7 linked regions of the Ovis aries genome follow. The protein of the gene in region 2 purifies or fractionates together with the protein of the main gene of each other region. This does not show direct contact. Links are inferred from orthologs where the notes say so. Each region holds a gene or a part of one and is shown on either strand. Other genes may lie near its edges. The genes, in order: ADNP2, CHD4, UBTF, ZNF512B, ZC3H18, PARP1 and ZFHX3.

Region 1 (4,274 bases), on a different chromosome or scaffold from region 2:
AATCAGTCCTGAATACTCATTGGAAGGACTGTCGAAGCTGAAACTCCAACACTTCGGTCTGATGCGAAGAACTGACTCATTTGAAAAGACCCTGATTCTGGGAAAGATTGAAGGTGGGAGGAAAAGGGGATGACAGACGATAAGAAGGTTGGATGGCATCACTGACTCAATGGATATGAGTTTGACTAGGCTTCGGGAGTTGGTGATGAACAGGGAGGCCTGGCATGCTGGGGTTCATGGGGTCGCAAAGAGTCGGACACAACTGAGCGACTGAACTGAACTGAATGTCTGGGCAATGAGGTGCCGGGCAGGGCAAACAAGGCCCAGGAATGAAGGGACTGGTCCTGAGCGTGAACCGACGCATACTCTGATCAGGACCGTGCTGAGGAAAACGTGTGCACGTGGGGCCGGAGTAGATAGATGGAGACCATTTTTGGTGGTCTTGGTGTTCTGGAAGTAGACATGGTCTTGTGCTGAAAAGTAAGTTGAGGAGGGGCAGGTAATGGCTTGGCAGCTTCAGTGAAGGGAGAAAGGCTGGAGTAGTCACTGAGGAGCGATAAAGTAAAAAAGTTGTTTGCCTGCACAGCAGGCTTCCCCGTTAAACTTCAAGTTCCCAGAGGGCAATGCGGTTCTATTCTTACCCCTTGGGCACTTTACTCAACAGTTGAAGACCCATAGGCATTTTGAAAGCTCCATTCACGTTATGGTACATTCATTTTGAGAAATATATTATCCCTTCACATTTTTTTTTACAAAGCTGGGCAAAAGTGAACTTTCAAGCCATTTAAGAATTTTTATAAATGTATGCAATTAACTTTTTTCCTACACAGCACGTAGTAGCTCTAACTTAAAAATACGAATTCTCAAGAAAAAGTGTGAAATTAATTTCCTTAGGATATAATTACGAAGTCAGGAGACCCTATCCAGTCAGTTCACCAAGATGTACCAAGAGCATCCTTGTCAAAGTTCTGATAGTTCAAGTTCTATCCTCCAATGATAGGGCAGGATTCCCCTGACAGCTGGTTTCCCATTGGCTCTGAGATGTGGGCGGGGCCACCTATTCCTGCTACTGCCACTAGCTCCACCCCACCTCATGCAAATGAAGACCAAGGTCTAGGAAACCCACGTGATTGGTCACGTGAAGGACGACGCACGGGCTCCGCCCCCTCTAGTGACGCCATCACCTCAAACTCTCACGAGAGTTTGTAGATATGGTGAGAGGCTAGCAGGCCAGTTCACTGTAGCAAGAGTGGGGTCAGGGGAGGGGGCTTCAACACAAAACCCCATTCCCACTGCTGAGCCTCCAGTTCAGCTTAAGGCAGGGGCCCAAAGGGGCCTTTGGGACAGTGCCCAGTGGGGGGTCCCATGCATGCTCTTCTCCCATTGGTTGACTGCATCGGCATGCAAATGAGGGTGCGCGTCACTTCCGGAGGCCAATCGAGCGCCATTTTCTCTTTCTGGCCGAGCTGGGAGGAGGGGACGGGGTCGCGCGGGGTGGCGCGCGCCGAGCGGGGGTCCCGCCGCGCGGGGCGGAGGCGGGCGGGCGCGGGGCCCCAGCGGGCGCGGCGAGACGTGCGAGGGACGCGGCGGCGCTGCGGGCGCCCAGCGGTAGGTAACCCCGGCCCGGCCCGCGGCGACGCCCCTGGCCCGGCCTGCGAAGTCCCGGCGGCGGCCCCGCCCCACCCCGCCCACACCCGGCGGCCGGTGGCCGCCTCTCGAATCCCGCGACGTTCTGCCAGCCCGGGGCTCGCGGCCCGAAGGGTGCCCGTCGTCCCTCCGCGTCACGTGGGGCCGGGGTCGAGGGGGGCGGGGATGGGGCCCGGGAGGCGGGGCGGGGGACGGCATCTGGGCGAGGGGAACGCGGGGACAGGGCGGCGGCCGTGGAGGGCCGGGGAAGGGGGCGGGCTGGGAGCCGGAGGGCCGCCCGGAGCGAGCGCGGACGCGGGCCGGGCTGAAGCGCGCTCAGCTGCCTGCGTTGTGGCGGGTTTTTTCTTGAGCGCACAGCTGAGAGGAGCCCCAATTCCTTCACCCTGGAGTTCTCAGTGTGAATACTGATGATGTGCAGATGTTGACATTACAGTTGAACTTTTCACATGCCGCCGCTCACCGCGCTTACGTAGAGCGCGCAGAATTTCTCCTGACTCTTGGCTTGGGAACGTCGAAAATAGTAGCCGCTAGTTCTAACTGAACAGTTGCTAAATAATTAAACGTTTAAAGTATTTTCTTTGAATTTGAATGGGAGGCTTGCCGGAATGCTCTTAAAACTGTTTATAATTGAATGGAATGGGTAATGGCAGCCTCTTGAGACCTGGAGGACTCTTGTGTGTGGTGATTTATGATGCAGATGGGCAAGTGCTTGAGGGCACCGGCGAGCCCCTCAGGGCTCAGCACGCACGTGGGACCGGGAGTCGGGAGGAGCGCTCTGGGGGAGAGGACCACGTAAAAAGTGCGAGTTGAGGAGAGCGCTGTTGGGCTTTGGTTGGAAGTCAAGTAATGTATGTGTAACTTGTTTAGACATACATGTTTACAAATATGTGTAACTTGTTACTGAGTAGGTAGCCATGTTATGAACGAACTTTAATATTCTCGTTGTAATTGGGAGTTTGTTGAGATAGTGGCCTTTAGACATGGAAGTGACCGATCTGTGTGTCGTAAGGGTACTGGTGCTAGTCTGGAGGGGGACTGGAGTTGGGAGGAGACAGGCTCACTCGTCTGACTGAGCAGTGGTAAGGATGTGAGAGCTGGTTTTAGGGTTAGGAGTTGAAGATTGGTGTCGGGAGAGGATGGGGAAGGAAATGGCAACTTACTCCGTATTGCCTGAAGAATTCCATGGACAGAGAAGCGTGGTGGGCTGTAGTCCATGGGGTCGCAAAAAGTCACACGACTGAGCAGCTCAGACACACACACACAAAATTCTTGTAACCACTCTACCTTCCTCTCCAGTAGTGAGTGAGTGAAAGTCGTGTCCGACTCTGTGACGCCGTGGACTGTAGCCCGCCAGGCTCCTCTGTCCATGGAATACTCCAGGCAAGAATGCTGGAGTGGGTAGCCATTCCCTTCTCCAGGGGATCTTCCACCCGAGGATGGAACCCAGATTCTTTACCATGTGTGCTACCAGGGAAGATACCTATCTATATGAAGATATCTGGGACACCTTTTTAATTTGATCCAAGTTTGCAATATGTTTCTGGTGAATTTATGGTTGTAGTCACTTTGAGTGATCACACCCCAGTATTCTGCTGTGGCTGCCACTCTGGTTATCACAGACCTGTTGGCAGTGTGTTACAAGGAGGACACTGAATCATGAGGACTTGCTGAAGGTGCCTGTCAGAGAAGGAATCTTCCTGTATTTGAACCCAGACCTTTGATTCTTGCTTTCATGTATTGTATAAATATCATGTGTTTTAAAAGTTTTACTTAAAAAGAAACAACAAAACCCTGTATTCGAGTAGTTTTAGCATTTCGCTTATATTTTTTGGAGCTTGTTCAGTCATTAAGTCCTGTCTGACTGCCAACACCACCTCCCCTCCCCCCACCAGGACTACAGGATTCCAGTCTCCTCTGTCCTCCCAATATCTCCCAGAGATTGCTCAGATTCAGTCCATTGAGTCAGTGATGCTATCTATAACCATCTCATTCTCTGCCACCCTCTTCTTTTGGATTCAGTCTTTCTGTGGCATCAGCGTTTTTTCCAGCGAGGCCGCATCAGGTGGCTAAAGTATTGGAGCTTCAGCATCAATCCTTCTGGTGCATATTCAGGGTTGATTTCCTTTAGGATGGACTGGTTTGATCTCTCAGTCCAAGGGACTCTAAAGAGTCTTCTCCAGCATCACAATTCAAAAGCATCAATTCTTAGGTGCTCAGCTTTCTTTATGGTCCAGCTCTGACATGTGTACATGACTACTGGAAAAATAATAGCTTTGACTATACAGACCTTTGTCGGCAAAGTGATGTCTTTTTAATACTGTCTAGTTTTGTCATAGCTTTCTTTCCAAGGAGCAAGCGTCTTTTAATTTCATGGCGGCAGTCACTGTCAGCAGTGGTTTTGGAGCTGAAGAAAATAAAATCTGTGACTGCTTCCACAGAATGCCATGATCCTAGTTTTTTGGATGTTGCATTTTAAGTTTTTGGAGTTAGATAATAGCAAACTCACAGTCTTATGTTCTAAGTGCTTTTATTGTGTTAAGTGAATTTTCTTCCTCAAAACTACTGAGTCGGTTGTGCAGTCCCTGTTTTACAGAAGAAACAGTCCCTGGGATTAAGTAACTTGCTAA
Region 2 (3,500 bases):
GCCCAGATTTCCTCGTTTAATCTATTAGATTGGTGTAAACATAATTGCAGTTTTGGACTGTAAAATTTAACATTTAAATTTAATCATTATAACTAGGCTCAAACACAGTTTTATCAACCAAAATAGGGACTAACACAATAAACACATTTTTGCCAATGAGAAATAAGTTTATTCCTGTGGCGTAAAAATCCAGGCTTCGCGATTCAATGAATTCTTGGAAAGCATTTTCCACATCATGCTGGTTGTGGAAGCATTCTCCCTGCAAAAAATTGTTAAGCTTCTTGAAGTAGCAGTAGTCGGGAGAAACAGACATAGAGGTCAGGTGAATATGGCAGATGCAGCAAAATTTTGTAGCCCAATTTGTCCAACTTTTTGATTGAACATTGTGTGATCACCACACGATGTTCAACATTGATTGGACATCAACTTTTTGATTGAAGCGTTGATTGTGTCATGTATGGTTGAGTGCTGTCATGGAGAAGAATCGAACCCTTTCACTGCTGTAGGTCTGGTAACTCAGACAATAAAGAATCTCCCTGCAATGCAGGAGACTGGGCTTCGATCCCTGGGTCGGGAACATCCCCAGGAGAAGGAAATGGCTACCCACTCCAGCATTCTTGCCCGGGAAATCCCACGGACAGACGAGCCTGGTGGGCTATAGTTCATGGGGTTGCAAAGAGTCGGATACTACTGAGCAACTAACACACTTTCATTGACCAATGCTGGCTGCAGGCACTGTAGCTTTCAGTGCATCTCAACAATCTGCAGAGCACACTTCCAAAATGTGATGGTTTCACTGGGATACAGAAAGCTGTAGTGGATCAGACCGGCAGGAGACCACCAGTGACCACGACCTTTTTTTGGTGCAAATTTGGCTTGGCAGATGCTTTGGAGCGTTTTCTCAGTCCAACCACTGAGCTGGTTGTTGCCAGTTATTGCATAAAATACACTTTTCGTTGCATATCACAGTCTGATTGAGAAATGGTTTGTCATTGTTGCATAGAATAAGATATGACGACACTTCAAAACCTTTCCAATTTGCTTCAAATGCTGAACCACCATAGAATGGTTGATGTTGAGTTCTTCAGCAAATTCTTACGTAGTTTTAAGAGGATGAGCTTCGATGATTACTCTCAACTGTCAACGTCCCATGATTGGCCACTACGCTCATCTTCAAAGTTCTCATCTCCTTTGCCAGACTTCTTAAACCACTATTGAACTGTACATTCATTAGCAGTTCCTGGGCCAAATGTGCTGTTGATATTGAGAGTTTTCTCCACTGCTTTATGACCCATTTTGAACTCAAATAAGAAAATTGACTGAATTTGCTTTTTGTCTAACATCATTTCCACAGCTTAAAATACACATAAAATAACTAGTTGTTAGAAAAGACATAAACCAAGAAATATCCATTAAAATGATGTATATATAACACAAACCACATTTAAGAATGTATTCCAATTATCAAATGGCAAAGTTCAACAGTGCTAAACCTCATTTACTTTTGCACCAACCTAGTAACAGCAGTAAGTGGCCGTTATATGACTGAGCTACCAAGACCTCGAGGTTGGTGTCAAGACAAGAAAGGATGTCCTGGGTGACATCCCACTTGGGACAACAGGCAAAGCATCAGCTCTGTTGGAAGTCAGTCCTATAGTTTCCCAAGAGAAAGGCATCCCAGGACCACAAAGGAAGGAAAACTCCGGTTCCGGGGCTCAAAGGCCTCCAGATCTCCAGCAGTCTCTCCTGCACCTCAGCCTGGAGATGCCCACATGGAAGAGGGGTGAACCCTTGGCGCAGTTGGGGCCAGGCACTCACCGTGCAGCGGGGACACAGCCATTCACCATTGGGAATCTCTGGGAGGGGGGGGTTTAGGCAGTGGATGTGGTAGGAGGAAGGACAGGTGTCACAGCAGAGCAGCTCCCCGCCATCCTTGCAGACCCGACAGAACTCCATGTGGTGATCATCCTCTTCCTCGGGGTCTCCCCCAACCTCCTCCAGGATCTCCTCGCCCTCCGAATTGTCCTCCTTTGCCTCCCACTGGATGCCTTCCTTCTCCTGAAGTTGAGGACCACAGAGTCAGGTTACAACCACCCCCCACCCACCTAGTTGGACCACGCCCAGCATTCCTCCAAGAGCATCCCAAAGCCCACAGCCAGCAGCACCAGCGTGTCTCCCCCCGCCCAAGCCCTTGCCCTCAAAGCCAGGCACTCACGCAGTGTGGGCAGCTCCACTTGCCCTCGGGTGCCTTCTCCATGTCCGGGTCCAAGCAGACCATGTGGTATGCGCGGGGACACGTGTCACACAGGATGATCTCTCCGCCTTGCTGGCACACCTCACAATAGTCCTGGTGGTCTGTCTCATAACCATCCACAGCAGTCACCTCCTCCTCGCCTGGGCAAGGAAGAGGGAAAGCCCAGTTATTAGAAAACGACCACCTCCCCCCACCCCTGAAGCCCAGGCCCCATCTCCTTAGGGAGATGCCTCCCCAGTCATTCCCCTCAGCCCGTCACATATTGATACAGAAAAGCAGCACACCTTTCTTTTTCTTTTTTGTGGTCCGCAGTTTCTTGCGACTGCGGCTACTGCGGCTAGTAGAACCATCAGAAACAGAATAGCTATTGATACTGGCGTCGTCGAAGTCAGACTCCACATCTAAGTCATCGTCCTCACTCTAATGGGGCGAGAAGAAATACGACTCAAGATTCAGGCCAAGGGGAAGAAGAGAGTGGTGGAGAAGGGAGGCAAGGGAAGGGAGACAAGGGAATTGCTCTTCACTTGGGGCACTGCAATTACGGCAAGGACTTACACAGTGAGCCTAGAGTCCTGTTCTATGACCAACTCCCCACATACTTCAGCAACCACCGTGAAAGGTGAAATCCTGAACTAAGACACCATCCTCTCCACGGGCTAAGGCACCATCACCAGGGGACAGGGACAGGCTGGGCTCTCACCGAGGATCTTTTCCTCTTAGAACCAAAACCTCCCAGCTTGATTTTCAGGGGAGCTACTTTCTTGGGTTTAGGCTTCTTGGCGTCGGGGACACGAGGGCTACCCTTAGGCTTCCTCCGAGCATTGGGACCTAAATCAGGAGAAAGCAAGTGAGATCATGCAGTCCAAACATCCATAACAGAGCAGAACGTGGGGAAAAGAAAATATTCACCACCCAAAGTATTTCCACTGGGTTGGCCAAAAAGTGCCTTTTTAAGTAAATGTAAGACACATTTTTCACGTTGGAGAACTTTATTACACAATGTATCCATCATTTTGTTCCACTACCTTCTGCCATTTTTCTGGCAACTTCATAATCCTGTGTTCCCAAAACTTATCTTTTTGAGCAAAGAACTGTTCCAGGTGCCTTTTACAGTCTTGCAGGGAACTGAACTTTTTTACATTAACAGAATTTTATAAAGATAAAAATAAATGGAAATCTGAAGGTGCAGTGTCTGATGAACAGGGTGGATGAATCGAACTTCCCAGCCAGGCTGTAACAGTTTTTG
Region 3 (3,964 bases), on a different chromosome or scaffold from region 2:
CTGGAAACCTGGGACTTCTGACTCCAAACCCTTTGATGTTTCGAAGTCAAAACAAGAAAGTCATTCCCTGCAGGTTCTAAGTTGGAGAAGGAAATGGCAACCCACTCCAGTATTCTTGCCTGGAGAATCCCAGAGTCGGAGGAGCCTGGTGGGCTGCCGTCTGTGGGGTCACGCAGAGTCGGACACGACTGAAGCGACTTAGCAGCAGCAGCAGCAGGTTCTAAGTACAGCGTGACATGGCTTGGTCCTTCACAAAATGCCCTCTGTAAGTTCCAAGGGCAGAACTGGGTTTGTGGGGAGGGGGAGGGGCGAGTAAAAAATAATACCAAATGATGAATCAAAAGTAAAGAGATAGCCTGCGATGAGGGCCCTGAAGCTTAAGCTTCACTAGCATCAAGGTAAATTGGCCCCGCCTACCCACTAAAAAATTCGGACACACCAGATCTTGACAAGATTTTCCTCCCGGTTTGTGAAACGTGGCAGATGTGGGCTGTGGAAGTCCTGGGAAAGGACTCTCAGTTCTCCCAGGGGACAAGATAAATTACAGCAACAGCGAGGCCGTGGTGTGGGGATGGAGAAGGCTGTGTGACAGGGGAAGAGTCCAAAGGGGCCGGCGGCCCAGCTGGCAGTGCCGCTGTGGTAGGCTGGCATCCCTAGAGCCGGGGGCGATGGCGCCGCCCCGGAGCGATGGCCCAAACCGTAGGCTCGCCTGATGGAAGCAAGCGTTCTTCAGACCGTCTTCTGGCTTCCTGCGTCCAGATGAACCTTTCTCGGTGGAGGAGAGGCAGAGACAGACAACCGCAGCCGACGGCAGTGGGAGGGTAGATGGTGGTCGCGCCTAGGCCTTTCTATCTCCGGCCCGCAGGATGGTGGAGAGCGGAGGCCTACGGGAAGGCTGCCCCGCTGGGGCTCTGGCGGCGAGGCCGGGGTGCCAGGCTCCCCTCGCGGCTCCCCGCCGCCGCCGGGGGGAGGAGGGGCAGGGGGAGCAGAGCCCGCGGCCTGCTTTCCCAGGGCTGGCCAAGCCTTTTTGACAAGCTGATAGCGTGCCGGGGATTGGCTGGTCCGGGCGTGACGCCGGTTAACAACAAAGGTGGAGTTGGAAGAAATTAGATTAAAGGAGGGGGGGGGGGGTTTGGAAATTAAAGGGGGAGCAGGCTGGAGACTGGAGGCAGAGACCGAAGGGGAGATGCGCGAAGCGCGGTCTCGCGGCTCCGCTTCGCCCCGGAATCCCCTTCGCCTAAACCCACCGGGATTTTTGCTCTCAACCGACTCCCGCGGCCCAGCTACCGAAGCAGGGGTGGGACGGATGGTTGCTGCTTCTTGAAAAATGCCCCCAACTCTCACCCTGACACCCCTTTACTATGGCCCAAGGGGAGAACTCTTTGCTCGGACTCCTCGGATCCTAAACTCGGAGGAGGTGAGGGGCATTGAGAATAGCGAGAGGTTCGCTCTAAAACCCGGAAGGCCCTCGCGGGGCACCGAGAACGGACGAGGCGGGGCACTCCCCCGGTTTTCCAATGTGTTGCAAACCTAAGAGCTTTTCTTGCTTGCTTTTTTTTTTTTTTTTTGGTAACACCCTTCCCCCCCTTTTCTCTCCCCCCCACCCTGCTTTGGCTCCAGGGTTGCAAAAGCAAAGAGCAATAAAAAAAAAAAAAAAAAAAGAAAGAAACCCGCGCATACACTCAGACACACACCAGTGGCGACAGGGGAGAGTTGGAAAGACGCAGGAGAGAAGCAGGAGGCAGCGGGGAGGGAGCAATGGGAGCGGGAAGCCGGCAGGTTCCCTCGCAAATCCCCCTCCGGCCCAACGTCGCCTCGCCGGCCCCGGCAGGGGAGCGAGGAGCCGGGCGAGCAGATGGAGGAGTGGAGCTCGCTCTAGGCAGCAGGCTTGGCCGGAGAATGGAGGAGCCGCCAAGCGATCGGCTGATTGGAAGAGAAACGCAGAGCGATGGAGGCGGGGGTAGGAGGACGATTTCTCTGCGGGGACTGGCGGCGGCGTATACGCCCGGGTCGGGCGCTGCAGAGCTTGGCTAGCTTTCAACCCGCGCTCGCCGGCTCCAGCCCCACGCGCCCCCACCCCCAGCCCTCCCGGCGGCTCCGCAGGTGAGTGCGAGCTGGGGGCAAAAAGACTCGAAAGTCTCAACACGCCCGCCCTGCCAAAAGGAGGAAAAAAAAAGAAAAGCATTTTTCCTTTTCTTTTTTTTTATTTTCGTGCAGCCCCCAGCACGGTGGGAGGGAAGGGGTGAGGCTGAGTCGCCCGGAGGAGGCGGAGGGGCCAGGCGAGGCCGGGGTGGCCCGGGAGGCGGCGGCGCCGAGGCGGCTCTGACGGGCTAGCGCTCGGAGCGGCGCTGCGCTGCGCCGAGGCGGGCGGGCGGGCGGGCGGAGCGGGGCGGGCGGAGCGCGGCGCGTGGGGCTCGCCATTAGCCGTCGCTCCGCTTCGCCATCTCGGGCTTTGTCTGGCGGCTTGCTGCCCCGGCGTCGGCTGCGGCGGAGCTGCGGCTCAGCTCTTCGGCCCGCCGCACCCTTAAGGCGCCCTTGGCCCGTGCTCCCATTCACACGCTCGGTAAGTGAGCCCCGGCGCCGCGGATTTCGGGGGAGAGGGGTTTCTACGAGTGGCGGCGGCGCCGATCTCCATGCGCCCGGGCAGGCCTGGGGAGCCATGCCGGGCTGGATTGAACCAGCTCCCACAGAGGCTCCTCCGCCGACTCGTAGCTTTATCGCCGCTTGTGGGATTTAAAGAGCAAAGAAGATTTTTTTTTTCTGTTTTAATTTGCAAAGAGGACATTTTTTAGGGATTTTTTTTTTTTTCAAGTTTCGTGTGTGTGCTGCTTAGCAGCGAGGCAGGCTCCGAAGCCTGGCACGGCGATTGGCTTGCGTGCGCCCCAAGCCGGTGGCTACGCTCCGGGGATAAGGGTGGGCGCGAAATGCCCGCTCCGGGAGGCGGGCGAGTGAGCGGGTGAGGGCTGGAGTGGAAGCCCGAATCTGAGCTGGGGGAGAGAGCTCTGGAGCTGGGCTGCAAACACCCCCGGAGCCTCTCCAGCTGCCGGGGGGCCCTCCGGCACCCTCTCTGCGGTCGCGCCTCGCGCCCTCCCTCCTGCGCCGGCCGAGCCTGCTAGTTCCCCCGCGGGTCTGGCGAGGTCGCTCTCGGCGCCCGCCCGCCTCGGCTCCGAGCCCCGCCGCCATCCGGGCGGCTGCGTGTCTCCCTGCCCCGACCCCCCCCCCCCCTCCCCGGCGGCAGCAGCAGCCGCCGCCGCCGCCACCACCACCACCACCACCAGCACTACCCCCCTCCCCTCCTTCCTTCCCTCCGCCTCGGCCGCCCGGGTCCCCCCAGCTCCCGCCCCTCCTCCCAGCTGCCCCCCGCGGAGCCCGCCCGGGCAGGCTGTGGGAGGGAGCGGAGCCGGCGAGGCGGGCGGGCTGGCGCTCGCTCCCCGGGGGTCGGTGTGCGCTCTACGGGGAAGGACGCGCTCGCTGCCCCGCTTCTCCCGCCCCCCCTCCCGCTCCTCCTCCTCCCTTCTCCCTCCTCCTCCCCGCTCCGGCGGCGGAGGCTGCGGCGGCGGCGGGGGGTGTGCGAGCTGAGGCCGGGGCCGGCGGGCGGGCGGCGGGCGGGCTGCCTGCAGGCGGAGGGCGCTGTGCTTTGTGCTTTTCGCCGCGAGGAGCAGCAGGCAGCAGCCACAGCCGCAGCCGCCGCCGCCACAGCAGCAGCCGCCGCCCCAGCGCCGCCGCCGCCGCGCCCGGAGGAGGAGCCGCTGCCGCCGCGGGAGGGAGCTGCGGCTGTGCCCGGCCGAGCGGGGGAGGGCGCCGCCGATCAGAGCCGGGGAGGGAGCCGCCGGAGCGGGAAGCCCGGAGGCCGCGCTGCGCCGGGTAACCGAGGCGGCTGAGGACGCGCGCCGGGTCGGGGCCGGGGCCAGGCGGCGGGGAGCGAGCCGTGGGTGCGGTGGACGCCTGGAGACCCGGGGCGAGT
Region 4 (3,500 bases), on a different chromosome or scaffold from region 2:
CTGGGGCCCACCCTACCCTGGCTGTTGGCTTGGGAGTGTCCATATCTGCCCTCTCCACCCAGGGTGCCATCTCAGAAAGGCTGACCTTTCCTTGCCCCTTCTGTGAGGCTGCATTCACCTCCAAGACCCAGCTGGAGAAGCACCGGATTTGGAACCATATGGACCGACCCCTGCCTGCCCCCAAGCCTGGGCCAGTCAGCCGGCCAGTCACTGTCAGTCGGCCGGTTGGGGTTAGCAAGCCCATTGGAGTAAGCAAACCTGTCACTATCAGCAAGCCCATTGGCATCAGCAAGCCAGTGACAGTCAGCCGGCCTGTGCCAGTCTCCAAACCAGTGACAGTCAGCCGACCCGTGCCAGTCACCAAACCAGTGACGATCAGCAGGCCCGTGCCAGTCACTAAAGCTGTCCCGGTCACTAGGCCCATACCAGTCAACAAACCTATACCAGTCACCAAATCTGTACCAATTGCCAAGCCAGTGACAGTCAACAAACCAGTGCCAGTCACCAAACCAGTGACTATCAACAAGTCAGTGCCGATGACAAAGCTTGTAACAGTTACAAAACCTGTGCCAGTTGCGAAGCCAGTGACAGTCAGCAGACCCATCGTGGTCAGTAAGCCAGTGACGGTCAGCAGGCCCATTGCCATCAGCAGACACACGCCACCCTGCAAGGTGGTTCTGCTGACCAAGTCTGAGAACAAAGCTCCTCGGGCTGCAGGGAGGAGCAGCGGTAAGAAAAGGTATGGGGGCTCCTGCCTGGTTGGGACTGGGTGTCCTTAGGGCAGTCCAGGGGTAACAGGGCCCAGAGCGGGTCCTCCTGTCTTTACTCCCTGCTCCCTGTAGGACTGCGGATGGCCTGGACGCCTGCCCCATCCCACCCAAGCATGCGAGGCCAGAGAACGGAGAGTACGGCCCAGCCACCCCAGAGCAGAGCTCGGCCTTCCAGCTGAGCACAGACCCCAGCAGCAGCCCCCTTTCTCTGGGCAGCAGACCCTCAGGGGGCAAGGAGGTGCCAAGGGCTCCAGGCCCCGGGTCCCCGCCTGAGGAGGGTGCAGAGCGCATAAAGCACAGTAAGATGGGATTGGGAGGCAGCAGCCAGGGTGAGGCCAGCAATGAGCCGGCCTGAGCTTACCAATGGTTATTTAACCAGAGTCTTGGCCTCTGTTTTCTCTCTCCTGAGTCAGGAAGGAAACAGAAAACACCCAAGAAGTTTACGGGTGAGCAGCCGTCCATCTCAGGGACTTTTGGACTCAAAGGTGAGGCCTAGACTAAGCCAGGCACCCTCAAGGGCCAGACACACGCTGTGGCCACACCCTCAGCTGACACCTACCTTCCCTGCCTGTTTGCACAGGGCTGGCCAAGGCAGAAGACAAAGCCCGCATCCATAGGGCCAAGAAACAGGAGGGCCCGGGCCCTGAAGACACACGGAAAAAGGGGCCAGCCCCCACCAGCGCTGTCAACAAGGAGGTGCCAGCTCCTATGACCCACCAAGCCTCAGGTAGGGGCTGCTGAGTGGCAAGGCACAGGCCAAGTCTTGATGACGGAGGCAGATCCTGAACCATGGGGACGGGGACTGAGTGTGGGCTTTGGGTTCTGTGCTTGGCGTTACGGTCATCTGGGAGCTCCTGCCCCTCACCTGAGTCCCTGGCCTTGCCCTGCAGGTGGCCCTGAGGAGCAGTGGCAACGGGCCATCCACGAACGGGGGGAGGCTGTCTGCCCCACCTGCAATGTGGTCACCCGCAAGACCCTCGTGGGGCTTAAGAAGCACATGGAAGTGTGTCAGAAGGTAGGGCTGCCCCCTGGCTCGGGAGGGGAGGCACCCCAGGACCGACCTCTCACTAACATGCCCGTCTGCAGCTGCAGGATGCACTGAAGTGTCAGCACTGCCGGAAGCAGTTCAAGTCCAAGGCCGGCCTCAACTACCACACCATGGCTGAGCACAGCACCAAGGTATCCCCTCGGGCCCAGCTGCCATCCATGCTGCCCACTGGCCGCGGGTCTCCTTCCCCCTACCTGCCTGGCTCTGACCACTGGCCTCTCACTAGCACAGCTTAGTGGCTCCCGTGCCTGACTAGGGACATCCGTGGCCCCGGGCAGGGGCGGGCCCCGTGGTGGCGGGGGCACTGAGGCTGGCCTGCCCCTCAGCCCTCTGATGCCGAGGCCTCGGAGGGGAACGAGCAGGAGGAGCGGGAGCGGCTGCGGAAGGTGCTGAAGCAGATGGGCCGATTGCGCTGCCCCCAAGAGGTGAGTGGGCCTGCAGGTGTGGACGCCAGGTGGATGTGGCCTGGCTGCTTACCACACTCACCTGCCCCCTGGAACCCCAGGGCTGCGGGGCCGCCTTCTCTAGTCTCATGGGCTACCAGTACCATCAGCGACGCTGTGGAAAGCCGCCCTGCGAAGTGGAAACCCCGTCCTTCCCCTGCACCCACTGTGGCAAGCCCTACCGCTCCAAAGCAGGCCATGACTACCACGTGCGCTCAGAGCACACAGCCCCGGTGAGTAGCCACAGCCTGGGTGCTCGTTCCTCAGGCCCCTGCCCTGTGGGCTCCCTCTTCCCTCCTGGGGGACTGGTGTGTCGGGGGAATGAATCTGTGATGGGCGCCTGTGCCCCCAGCCTGCTTTCTCCTGTGTTCTCTGTGTGGCACATGCCATGTGGCTCACCAGCTCACCCAGCCTCCCCTCCACAGCCCCCTGAGGAGCCCTCTGACAAGGCCCCTGAGGCTGAGGACCCGCTGGGTGTGGAGCGGACTCCCAGCGGCCGTATCCGCCGCACGTCGGCCCAGGTCGCTGTGTTCCACCTGCAGGAGATCGCAGAGGACGAGCTGGCCCGAGACTGGACCAAGCGGCGGATGAAGGATGACCTGGTACCCGAGACCGCACGGGTGAGCCCTCCTCCCTGTCTCTGAGTGTAAGGCCCCTGGGAGAAACCTGGGCAGTCCGCCCGCCTCCTGGGTGCAGACCTCCCATCCATGGAGGGGAATGTCTGGGTCACCTCCAGCTTACCCTGTCAACTGCTGTGTCTGTAGCTCAACTACACGCGGCCAGGCCTTCCTGTGCTGAACCCCGAGCTGCTGGAGGCATGGAAGAACGAGGTCAAGGAGAAAGGCCACGTCAACTGCCCCAACGATGTGAGCTGGGCAGTCTGGGCAGGCGTGGGAGCTCTGGGACTCAGAACAGAGGGCCCAGGGCTGGCCTTGGGGGGAGACTTCCATGTGGCCCGAGTTTCATAGGCAGAGAGGCCTTGACCTCAGCCCTAGCAGCTCAGCCTGCCACACCCTCTGACTTCTGGGATCACACCCACCCACCTGCCTCAGATGGGCCCCAGATCCCCTGGGCTGGGCAAGGGGTGCATGGTGGTCAGTGGGCTCCTGCTGGAGAGCCTGTCCCCACGGTTACCTCCCACCCCCAGTGCTGTGAAGCCATCTACTCCAGCGTGTCCGGCCTCAAGGCCCACCTGGCCAGCTGCAGCAAGGTCAGTGCCCAGGCCCTCCCCTCAGCCGT
Region 5 (3,500 bases), on a different chromosome or scaffold from region 2:
AACAGGTTCCAGCATGTTGGGCGCTGGCTGGAAGGCAGCCTTCCTACCCCAGAGCTTCTGGGCTGCTCGGCTAAGCAAGCACAGTGGTCCAGCCCCGACTAGCCAAGCAGAGGGAGGTGGGAGGCCTGATTGAATGCCTTGGGGCCAGGCCTCCGCGGCTTCTCCGCCTCCCACCAGAGGGCAGTGCTGCGAATGCCCCAGATTTCTAAGCCCCTAAATCCTTTGGTACAAGATGCTGTGTGTCCAGACATGAAAGGAGCAGGCAGATGTGAGCCTGAGAAAAGACAAAGCCCGTATGCAAAGAAAAGGCTTCAGAGCTGTATTCATCCCTGGCTGGGCCAGGAGCCATCACTTCTGCCTGAGCAGCAGTGTGGACAGTCCACTCAGGGTGCAGGCCCTGTCCCACCGTCTCCGAGCAGCCACCCTACCAGTGCAACAGTCATTGACCAAAGCCAGGAAGGAACAGAATACTCCGCCCCTTCCCAAGTGGATGACACACACCAGGTGCCAAAGTTTTGTTAACCAGATGACATGCGAGACATAAAAACAGAACCAAGTCAAAAAGCGGAGGAGACGATGGAAGGGCCAAAGATGGAAGGACTGGAGTCTGCAAAGGCAAGTCACAGACCCTGGAGGGAGGAGGCTCTGTGCAGGACCACACAAGGCACACACGGCCGCTCGTGCCATTCGGCTGTCTGAGCTGCCAGCACAGGTGAGACCACTGACTAAGTCAAGTTCACCCATGCTTCAGCTGTCACTTGGCGGGGACCCTCGGCCCCCTCCACAAATAAGCTAGATGCTATAAATAGCTGGCCCACAATCATGTTTGCAAAATCCCCTCCCACTGCAGCAGGGAAGTGGCACTTCCAGAAGGGCACTGGTATCTGAAGGTAGCTCACCAAAATACGTACAAGTCATTCAAGGCCTGAGTTATAAACCACGTGGTTCAAACAGAAGAATGTCAAAGGTTCGTTGTACAAACTGATGTCACTACCAAGGAAACCACCAAGAAAGTGGAAAAGCTGGGGAGAGGGAGCTTACTCCTGCCAAACGAACTGACCTGTCCCAGTGACCCAAAGCCTACAAAGGAAAAAAGCAGGTCAGTGTACCCCAACAGAGAAAAGCACTTCTCAGTTCAAAGAAGGGTAAATCACTTGTGTTCTTGGAGGTGAGGGTGCTAAAGAGCAACAAGAACACACACACTGACGACCCAGTCAGTTCAGACTGTGGAATCACAGCAAAAGCACCAAGCTTGACACGCCAGAAAGGGGCAGAGCCCACAGAAAGGGCGTAACATCTAAGCAGGTGATCAAAGAATGGGGAGGAGCCTGGAATGCAGGCAGCTGGGCACACGTGAACCAGAGGGGCTCCCATGAGGGCCTGAGTCTCCATTCATAGGGCGAGCCCTGTCCAGGCCTGCCTGTCTGGAGGGGCGACAGGCTCTGCTCTGCCTGGTCACGCCCCTGCGTGTCACAACGAGCCCAGCACACTGCGGGGCCCGTGGGGGTGCCTGTGGACGGACACGCCACCCTGTGGCTGAATGAAGCGGGGCCTGGGCCCAGGGGGGCTCTGGGGCCCTCTTTAGAGGCCAGGCAGGTACAAGTCAAATAAACAACCATCTAGGGTCAAGTGGGCAAGAAAGTCAACCTGGATGTCTACTTCTCACGTTGTTTCTGAAGAAATCAGCTATCTCCAAACAACAGGTGTTTTCCTGGGCCAGCTCAGGTCAACGCCATGTCCTAGGCCACGACATCTAACTCAGTGCAGGTGGGAGAGCCCCCAGGACCTGTGGGGAGATATCTGACTGCATGTGAGCATGGAAAGGCTGAGAAGTCGATGAACTTGCCCTACGGACCATTCACAGCTGAAGCAAGAAGAGCTTGCACCTCGTCCTTTCTTAAAGGGGGAGGACTGCCCAGACCCGCTGGCCGCACGTCCCGTCACTAACAGCCCCATGTCCTACGGGCAGGACACTGACTCAGCTTTTCTTTTTGTAAACTGAGAGACCAAACTAATGGGCAACCTCAATCAATGATTTCGTCTTCTGCCCCAAATGTCATCCAAACTGATTAACTGGAGTCTCATGGCATCTCTTTTGCCTCTGGCAACCCTCTGGTTGAGAATTTCCCAAATTGCAAGGGAAGCTCAGATGGCAGAACCTAAGAATGCTCACAGACAATGTCCCGACAACACCTTTGTAAGTACACTAACAAGCAGTGGCTACTGGCTTAGGAGACCATCTGCTACGCTTAGTTGCGAGAAGACAAAAGATCTAAGCTTGTAACTGCACACATGAGCTTGTAATGCCCCACAAAGTTCTGTTCTCATGAAGTTCGAGAAGCAGTACCAGGCACAACCATGGCCCCAAGATGCGGCATACGTACTAGCTGCCAGAGAAGCCAGCGTGTCAGGGAAATCCAACTCACACACTTAACCAACAACCCCCTCCTTCGGCGATCCAGAGCATTTCTGGGAGCTATTCCTCACACCCCTCCCCTCAGTGCCTCTCCCATGAGCAGAATCCCCTTCCTGGGATATTAAAACTCCAGGTCCTGTCAATCTGCTCTGTCTGTCTCTCCCCTCCTTTGAGTAAAAGCATTTATCAGCAGGACTTCAGATTCTTCCCTCCCCAAAATTCAACCTCTTAAAAGATGGCGAAGGAAGTTCTTGCATCAGGATTATCTATCATAAATCCCAACTGCCCACAACTAAGACAATTATTACCAGATACCTTCTCCTTAACCTGAAAGGCCAGATTAATAAAGTTAAAAGAATGTGATGGTCAAAAGTCAAAGTGCTCTGACACACAATCCCATTTTCTGCAGTCCCAAGGAGACACTTCCAAGGAAGCTTGGCCTAGAGAAGACCCTCAGCAGAAGACAAAGAGAAAAATGGCCAAAATAATGGACAAAACTGGAAGGAAGTTTCCTCAGTCTCGAGAATGTAACAGGAATTGAAATCCACAATGGTTCTAGTTGAACACTAACTCAAATAGTACTTAAACACAGGGAAAAAAAAAAAAAAGGCACAAAAAAAAATGCTTAAAAAAAAAAAATCCAAAGTTTTAACACAATCCAACCAACAGCACCAGACAGATGAGTGAGGGTCTGTGGAACTTCTGCCAGCTGCCGACTCCAGGCCAGGCTAGTCTCCATGCCTTCAGTGCCCCCTCAGCACCAGGTCAACGGCCCCAGCGCCAGCCCCCCGACCCCTCCTCAGGGCGCCCACCGCGCCTACTCACATCAATCTCCCCGTCGTCGATCTCCCCGTCATCATCCTCTTTCCTCTTCTCCTTGGCAGCCTCCGGGGGCTCCTTGTCCTCCACGGTGCGGACCCCCGCCTTCCCCTCCTCCCCAGGAGCCCCCTCTCCACGCTCATCATCATCCTCAGGCCCGGCCTTCTCAGCGTCGTCCTCCTGCGCGCCAGGGGCCGGCTCCTCGGGCACCTCCTCATCGTAATCTAGCTCGTGCTCATCCAGGTCCCTGGTGACCGACGAGGCC
Region 6 (3,500 bases), on a different chromosome or scaffold from region 2:
GCAGGAAACTTAAATGTATATTACTGAGTGAGATAAGCCAATTTGAAAAGGTTACATACTGTGTGATTCTAACGACACAATATTCTAGAAAGGATGAAACTATGGATATAGGAAAAACATCAGTGGTTGCCAGGGGTTGGGAGATGGAGGGATGAACCGGTAGAATGCAGAGGAATTTTATAGAGCAATGGAAATACTCTGAATGACGTTATAATGATGGATATGTCATTATACATTTGCCCAAACCCTTACAGGAAAGATGTACACCACCACGACTGAAGGCTGATATAAACTCTGGACTTTGGGTGAACTGATGTGTCAACGTAACTTCAGCTGCTGGGAGAAGCTGAAGGTGGAAGAGGTCACGCCTCTGTGGAAACTCTCCACTTTCCATACTTTTTGCTTAATTGTGCTGTGAACCTGAAACCACTCTAAAAGAGGGTCTAGTAAGATAACCACCACAGCAAATTTAAAGGCTACATTTCAAGCATCTAGAAGTTAACATATCCTGTACCAACAGGACAACTCTGGGTCATTGGGATGCTGCTGGAGTAACGGGAGAGTGAGCTGAAGGACCTACTCTTTGCTCTCACAGAGCAGGCCCCTGCCCAGGAAGCTCCAGGGTTGGGGCGACCCCCGCACCTCCCCGCTGGGCACACACCTGTCGCTCCTCCAGTCTCGGCCATCTTCTTGATCTTCTGCTGGTCATCCCAGCGGAGCTCAGAGAACCCCTCCACCTCAACATCAGGGTGCCAGATGGAGTGGCCGACCTTCCAGAAGCAGGAGAGGTGGTGCCAGTGTGGGATTTTCCCATCGAACATGGGCGACTAGAAGGGCGGAATCAGAGGTGGAAAAAGAGCTGTGAGCCTCAGGCGCGGGCCTCAGCACCAGACATCCCCAACCCCCTTGCTTATCTGTCAACAGAGGACGGCACCCACCCCTCAGCTGAGGAAGCTGCCTTGCCTGCCCTGGGACAGGCACCAGGCCATCCCGTGGGGTTGACCGGCACTTCAGCTTAGCGTTCAGCCCTGAGCGCGGTTACCAAACTTGCCACTGCGTTTCCGTCGCAAACTCAGCTCAGAGCTTGGCGAGGGCATAGGAGGTGCCCGTCCTGCTTTCTGGCGCCCCCCCCCCCCCAGCGGACCACCGCCAGGGCCCGCGTGGCCCCCAGGGCTCCATGCACCTAGGACAGCGGGGAATGAGTCCCCGATGAGCGCCAGGCTGAGCAGATGTGTCAGAGAAGTGGCCTGCCGGCAGCAGCCAGGCAGATGTGCACGGAATGAAGGACTTCCATGAGGGAGACTGAAAGGGACCGGCAGGGCGGCACCCCACCCCCAGGGGCTGGAGGGACCCTGCTGCCCACCACCCACCATGGGCCACCCCACAGCTGTCTCTGAGGAACCAGCACCCTCATTTCACAGTCTCATGGGGGTGCGGTCAGACATGCAGCAGGTGATTCAGCCCCGGTTCTTTCCACTACGCTGCTCTACGTCGCTCGGCAGGAAGAGGTACTTAAAAATACACAAACGGTTCTTCTGACTGAAGGTGCCAAACATCTGCTTTGATAGGACAGAAATCTAAATGTCAAGCAGATGGCATAAAACAGCGTTAAAAATAAACACCCAGCAGAACGTTTAGGATGGAGTCATGCGGACACAGAAAGTGCTAAGGAAAAGCAGGGACAAGCTCTCCCAACTGGCCCTCTCCTACTAGGTGAGCAGCCTCTCTCTGGGTTTTATAGACAGCATTGAATACAATACAGGGTTAACGGCTGGGGCACAAGGACGCAGGGTTGCGCAGCGTGGGTTTACAGCGGCAATGGCTGTCCCCTGGGCTCCCCAGCTCTAACCAGAGCCAACAGCACTTCCTCATGTCCCATGACAGATGCCCCTTCCCATAGCTCCCCAGAGTTAAGATTCATTTGGGTTATTATTTGATCAAGGCCTGTGCCCTGCGTCGGGTCAGGAGCTGCCAGAGAGGCGCCATGCAATGCCTGTCTTGCCAGCACAGTCACGGCAGGCACTCAGAACATTTGTGGGGTGCCCCAGGTCTGGAGGGAAGAGGAAGAAAGGAAGGATGGAGGAGCTCCTGCTGTGGGAAAGATGCTTACTCCGAGACAGCCCTTCCATCCACAACCAGTCAACAAATGTCATTTCAGAGAACAGACTCGTGTCCTGGCTCTCAAACGTTCACCAAGGCAGCCAACATATCCTTAAACGCCTGGGCGTCTTGTTACAGCATCTGCAGTGGCCTTGACCTGGCTCTGCCTGCCCTGGAGCCCCTCTTTAAGCCTCCTTTAAGTGCAGAGAGGGGGCCCCTGACTCATGGCTCTGCCCACCCCTCACTGGAACCTATGGCCACGATTTCTTCCTGGCTCTCTGAGGCCCCCATACGTGCTCCTTTAACTCTGGCCTGAGTGCTGTGTCCCCAGCCACCGGCACAGTGCCAAACATGAAAAGCCTCCACCAGGGTATACTCATGGCACAAACTCCAGGACTGCTGAGGCCACTGGTCTCCCTCCAGAGGAAAGAACCCTTGATCTGTGCAAAGCTTTATACTTAAGAACTCAGGACAGGATGAGATGGCAAGAAAGTAACCAGGCTAAGGTCACAAGACTATTGCCTCACCAGGCAGTCGCGGGGCTCCAGTAAGGAGCAGAATTCTTGGCTGTAGACTCAGCAAACATAAGTGCCCACCACGTACCAGGGTCCTTACCGAGCCACTCTCAGGCTGCTTCCTGAGAAATGGGCTATAAAAAAGAGGCCACACCAGGGCCAGCCTACCCCAGAGAGTGCAAAGCAACTGTTACCACGAAGAAAGGAAGAAAGGCAGCAGGCCTTTCCTGCAGGCCCTCCCAAGAACACCAAGGTCGGGTGCATTCCCCTCCAAGCTGCCCCAGGGCCTGCCAGCTAAAGTATCAGGTATTTGATACTCCAAGAACAATCCTCCCACACAAATGTAAAAGAAGGTATTTAAATCCAAAGGAGGGGTGGGGGAAGAAAGGCTTCTTTTTTCTGGCCTTCACCAGCTCAGCCTAAAGGACCTACAAAACATTTGTGTAAACTCCACCCTCAATTACCATTAGAGAAAAATCATACTTAATTTTAATAACAAAATTTCCTTCACTAACAAGTAAGCAGGAGAGCCCAGAATGTTACACTTTATTTAGTTTAGAAAGTGATTACTCACTTGGTGGAACTGCCTGGACTAGAGCCAACCAGCCTCTTTACTCCTCACCCACGTCCCAATAGAACAGGGTCCTCTCTGACTGTCCAGTGAAGCCTATGGATGTCCCTTTCTCAGACTAACATTTTAAAATGCACAATAAAATGTGTAAGTTCACAAAGGAAGTCAATGGTATTAAAATAATTATGAAAACATTTAAAAAGTTGACTGGGATACAGTAATCTACAAGTCGCTCAGTCCAACTCTTTGCGACCCCATGGACTGCAGCACGCCAGGCTTCCCTGTCCTTCACCACAAACTTTAAAGCATTAAAT
Region 7 (3,500 bases), on a different chromosome or scaffold from region 2:
TAAGGTAGCACAAACAAGGCAGGGACAGACCAGATAATGAATTCCACACTCCGGACATGGCTCTGTCTACTTCGAGGCAAAAGGCTTGCTCTAGGTTTTAGGTTGGAGCTGCAGCCAGAGCCAGGGGTTCAGCAGGGCGGAGAAGAAATGCCTCCTGATTGCCCCATCCCTATGGCGTCAGGCTCCCAGAGAAGAACTGATAGGACAAAAGAGGTTCCATTTTAAGGAACATGTACTGAACCTCTGCTATTTACCAGGCTCTGCACTAGGTGTGTTCACTCAGTAAAGCAGCTTAGTACATTCTCACAGTAACCCTGTGGCTTTGGTTTTCTCATCTGTAAGGTCAGAACCACGCGAGGCGTACACTCCTGGAGTGGCTGAGGCATCTCCTGATGCGGTGTGGACTGTGGCTGACACGTCTGCCATGTGATGCTTGGAAGCTTGGCTTTCCACAGTAGATGGGTGTGGGGAGGAAATGGAAGGTCACGGGAAGAGCTTACCATTGGGCCTGACATACTCCTTTCTTTCCTAATTCCAGATGCAGTACTCCTGGGAGCTGTGGTTCAGTCGGTGGTGGTAACTGGGGCATGCCTGGCTGCCTTGAATGATTAAGAGCCTATCTTCCTACCTGGAGTCCACTGTAAGTGATCAGAACCTGAGGAGCACTAAGCATATACCCGTTGACTGACTGGCTTTATACTGGGTGCTGTGGAAGGAGTACAGTGCATCGCACTGGGAGCCTGGAGGCCTGGGCGGGAGCTCTGGCTCCTGCCCTAGCTTGCTGAATGGTCTTGACCTCTCTGGGCCTCAGTTTTCTCATCTGTAAAACAAGGGGAACAGATCAGACATTCTAATTCTTTCTCATTACTATGAAATGTTGGGCCTTCCCAAGCCCCTCTGCCGAGGTCCCAGGCTGCGGAAGTAGCTCAGTACTCAGCCACTTCCCGTCGCCTGTTTCCTGGCGACTCTATTTAGCTGACTCTTATTATCATTCTGTGATACTACTCGTCAACACAGGTAAGCAGCGACTTCTATATCTGAATGCTTTCTTCTCTTAGGATAAGAAAGTGGGATTTGGAATGAGGTAGCTTCATGTCCTGTAAAACCACTGCCAAAGTTATAAAACTTGGATTTAATTCAACCAGAAAGCAGGGAAGCAGCTGAGTCGCTAGAGCCCCTGGGAACTGGGACATTTCGAAGATAAGGAGGCACACTGAAGGGCTCTGCTTTAGTGAATGTGCACTGGTCAATGTAGGCTGTGGGGGACTTACTAACTCGTGCTAAGCCTCACAGGATCCTTCCTAGAGGGGTGAGGGTCCAATTTAGGAAAGACAGCTGGATCCAGAGAAGACAGGTGAAGAACGAGGAGGAGGAGGAGGAACAAGAGAGGCACACAGGAAGAACTGTGGAACTCCCTATGAGGTAGAAAAATGAGTACCAAGTGTGTGACTCTGCATTAGAAAGGGAAATGGGCAGAAGGAAATGAAGAGGTGATTGAACACCCCTAAAAATAAACATTTTCAGTTTAGATGACTATAAAACACGTCATAATTCAGAACCACATTGCACAATACAAGTTCCTGGTCAGTGCATTCCAGTATAGAGGTAGTCTAATTAGAAACTAGAGGGTGGTCCAGTGGTTAAGACTCCATGCTTCCACTGCAGGGTGTGTGGGTTCAATCCCTAGACAGGGAACTAAGATCCCACATGCTACAGCCAAAACCCCAGACTAACACACCACTGTGTTTCTGAATCAAAGGGAACCCCAGGAGTAAGGCTCCAGCTTGTGAGAGCTACTTCCTGGTAGCATCTCTCCTGCCAGAACAGGTCTCTGAAACAGGAGGCGGGACCTCAGGGAACAGCAAAGAGTTTATTTAAATTCTTTTGCACCTGTATCCAGAGGGCACAACCCAGAATTAGCTAAGATGTTCAAATGTTTTATATTTTCAATAGATTTCTAGATGGGATCTGCATTTCCACAAAGACTGAATGGAAGGGTCCATAATGGAAACTGCTGTCTCAAAAACACCCCAGGATCTAGTACACCAGAACCCTCCAGTTCATGCCCACAGCATACACCCTGGTCTGTGCTGAACACCAGGCAGAAGTATGGTTTCAGGAGATGGTTCCAACTCCAGGGTCCCCATTCTTGGACTGGGAAGTGGAGGATCATGTACATCACAGCTCTCGGGAGACTCAATGGAAGGGACCTGAAATTCTATTGCAGTTAGAGAACTAGGAATGTGGAGCCTCCCAGCACTCAGGTTTTGTGTGGTGGCTCTTTACTACTGGGAGAATCACTGAGAGCAGAACCCACCTGTGTTGGATGGAGTGAAGCCTGGCAGGGAAGGGCTGTTGAGGCCGGGGAGCAACACAGGAGGAATGCCCTGGAGCGCTGGGTATGCCGTAGGAAGGTTGAGAGCCTGCAGAGGGGCGTTGTCGAACATCCCTTGCTGCTGAGCTGCCAGTCCAAGGACCTCATTGGCCTTTTTAATCCGGTCCAGCTCTTGTTGAGCCATCAGCTGACGAACAGTGGCTGGGTCAAAGTACTCTTTCTCCTTGTCCAGCTGGCTTCCAATGGTGTCTTTAACTTTGGAGATATGCTGTTGGGAAAAGATATGGTCACGTACAGACAGCCGAGCGCTGTACTTGATGCCACACAAAGTGCACTCTGTTTTGGGTCCCTCGTAACTCGTTTGGTTTATACCAAAATGCTTGGCCATGCTTAACTTGGACTTCTTTTCTTTTGCCCGGGCATTCTGGAACCAGACCTGAACAACTCTCTTTGGCAGTCCAATGTCATTGCCCAGGACTTCACACTCCAGCATGGTGGGTGTCCGGTAGTCATTGAAGCATGACTTGAGGACCTTCAGCTGCAGATTGGTCATTTGAGTGCGAAAACGTTTCTGCCCGGGCCGATCCCCACTGTCTCCAGATTTGCCTGCTGACCCACTCACACCAGGGCTTGGAGAGCAGGGGTCTGCAAGGCTTGAGGTTTCACTGTAGTCCACGGTACCTTCATTGTCATATTCCTTGCTGTAAAAGCTGGGAGCTGGGCTGACCAGGCCAGATGACAGCCGATCTTCATACTCGGACATTGCCATCATGGCCGCTTTGGTCAGCCCTTCACTGGGCGCAGAAGAGGATTTGGTTTCAGTTGCTATTCCCGTCGCACTATCGTTATCTGCATTGCCCTCGTCTCCAGTAGTGGTATCTGTGATCGCTGTATTGACTGAGGAACAGTCATCGTTGTCCAGCTTAGTCTGGTCAAAGTTTAGATTAACAGAGGACATGGAGGGGCTTTCAAAATCTTCTATGCCTTCCACCTTGATGGAAGAAGGACTCAGAAGAGTCCTGGGAGACAACTCCATGGTTTTGCTCACAGGTGAGAGGGGAACACCTTGGCCATCACTACTACTTGGGGGTAGGTGGGAAAAGCTAGTTCCATCAAAAATATCTCCCTTCATCTGCAGTCCCCCATCACAGTCTAACAGCATTGC

Evidence for each region.
Region 1: the proteins of CHD4 (region 2) and ADNP2 purify together in Homo sapiens (affinity purification with mass spectrometry; 3 studies listed by BioGRID and IntAct, with this or other methods). This does not show direct contact. The link is inferred for Ovis aries from reciprocal best matches to the Homo sapiens genes CHD4 and ADNP2.
Region 3: the proteins of CHD4 (region 2) and UBTF purify together in Homo sapiens (affinity purification with mass spectrometry, with the first as the bait; 3 studies listed by BioGRID). This does not show direct contact. The link is inferred for Ovis aries from reciprocal best matches to the Homo sapiens genes CHD4 and UBTF.
Region 4: the proteins of CHD4 (region 2) and ZNF512B purify together in Homo sapiens (affinity purification with mass spectrometry; 4 studies listed by BioGRID and IntAct, with this or other methods). This does not show direct contact. The link is inferred for Ovis aries from reciprocal best matches to the Homo sapiens genes CHD4 and ZNF512B.
Region 5: the proteins of CHD4 (region 2) and ZC3H18 purify together in Homo sapiens (affinity purification with mass spectrometry; 3 studies listed by BioGRID). This does not show direct contact. The link is inferred for Ovis aries from reciprocal best matches to the Homo sapiens genes CHD4 and ZC3H18.
Region 6: the proteins of CHD4 (region 2) and PARP1 purify together in Homo sapiens (affinity purification with mass spectrometry; 4 studies listed by BioGRID and IntAct, with this or other methods). This does not show direct contact. The link is inferred for Ovis aries from reciprocal best matches to the Homo sapiens genes CHD4 and PARP1.
Region 7: the proteins of CHD4 (region 2) and ZFHX3 purify together in Homo sapiens (affinity purification with mass spectrometry, with the first as the bait; 3 studies listed by BioGRID). This does not show direct contact. The link is inferred for Ovis aries from reciprocal best matches to the Homo sapiens genes CHD4 and ZFHX3.

Annotation. Positions count from the first base shown.
Region 1 is NC_056076.1:643,766-648,039, reverse strand, and holds the start of ADNP2 (activity-dependent neuroprotector homeobox protein 2), read left to right. Parts: upstream 1-1,474; 5' UTR 1,475-1,608; intron 1,609-4,274. UniProt on the Homo sapiens protein: May be involved in transcriptional regulation. May play a role in neuronal function; perhaps involved in protection of brain tissues from oxidative stress. May be involved in erythroid differentiation.
Region 2 is NC_056056.1:209,658,248-209,661,747, reverse strand, and holds part of CHD4 (chromodomain-helicase-DNA-binding protein 4), read right to left. Parts: intron 3,083-3,500; coding exon 2,955-3,082; intron 2,675-2,954; coding exon 2,539-2,674; intron 2,395-2,538; coding exon 2,216-2,394; intron 2,059-2,215; coding exon 1,819-2,058; intron 1-1,818. UniProt on the Homo sapiens protein: ATP-dependent chromatin-remodeling factor that binds and distorts nucleosomal DNA. Acts as a component of the histone deacetylase NuRD complex which participates in the remodeling of chromatin.
Region 3 is NC_056064.1:43,773,890-43,777,853, reverse strand, and holds the start of UBTF (nucleolar transcription factor 1), read left to right. Parts: upstream 1-1,164; 5' UTR 1,165-1,417; intron 1,418-1,999; exon of another isoform or gene 2,000-2,103; intron 2,104-2,293; exon of another isoform or gene 2,294-3,964. UniProt on the Homo sapiens protein: Recognizes the ribosomal RNA gene promoter and activates transcription mediated by RNA polymerase I (Pol I) through cooperative interactions with the transcription factor SL1/TIF-IB complex.
Region 4 is NC_056066.1:53,582,371-53,585,870, forward strand, and holds part of ZNF512B (zinc finger protein 512B), read left to right. Parts: intron 1-62; coding exon 63-739; intron 740-842; coding exon 843-1,069; intron 1,070-1,183; coding exon 1,184-1,255; intron 1,256-1,350; coding exon 1,351-1,497; intron 1,498-1,660; coding exon 1,661-1,785; intron 1,786-1,856; coding exon 1,857-1,949; intron 1,950-2,144; coding exon 2,145-2,243; intron 2,244-2,323; coding exon 2,324-2,494; intron 2,495-2,686; coding exon 2,687-2,881; intron 2,882-3,025; coding exon 3,026-3,127; intron 3,128-3,408; coding exon 3,409-3,471; intron 3,472-3,500. UniProt on the Homo sapiens protein: Involved in transcriptional regulation by repressing gene expression. Associates with the nucleosome remodeling and histone deacetylase (NuRD) complex, which promotes transcriptional repression by histone deacetylation and nucleosome remodeling.
Region 5 is NC_056067.1:13,386,982-13,390,481, reverse strand, and holds part of ZC3H18 (zinc finger CCCH domain-containing protein 18), read right to left. Parts: coding exon 3,242-3,500; intron 1-3,241.
Region 6 is NC_056065.1:28,693,606-28,697,105, forward strand, and holds part of PARP1 (poly [ADP-ribose] polymerase 1), read right to left. Parts: intron 828-3,500; coding exon 662-827; intron 1-661. UniProt on the Homo sapiens protein: Poly-ADP-ribosyltransferase that mediates poly-ADP-ribosylation of proteins and plays a key role in DNA repair.
Region 7 is NC_056067.1:37,912,013-37,915,512, reverse strand, and holds part of ZFHX3 (zinc finger homeobox protein 3), read right to left. Parts: coding exon 2,318-3,500; intron 641-2,317; exon of another isoform or gene 539-640; intron 1-538.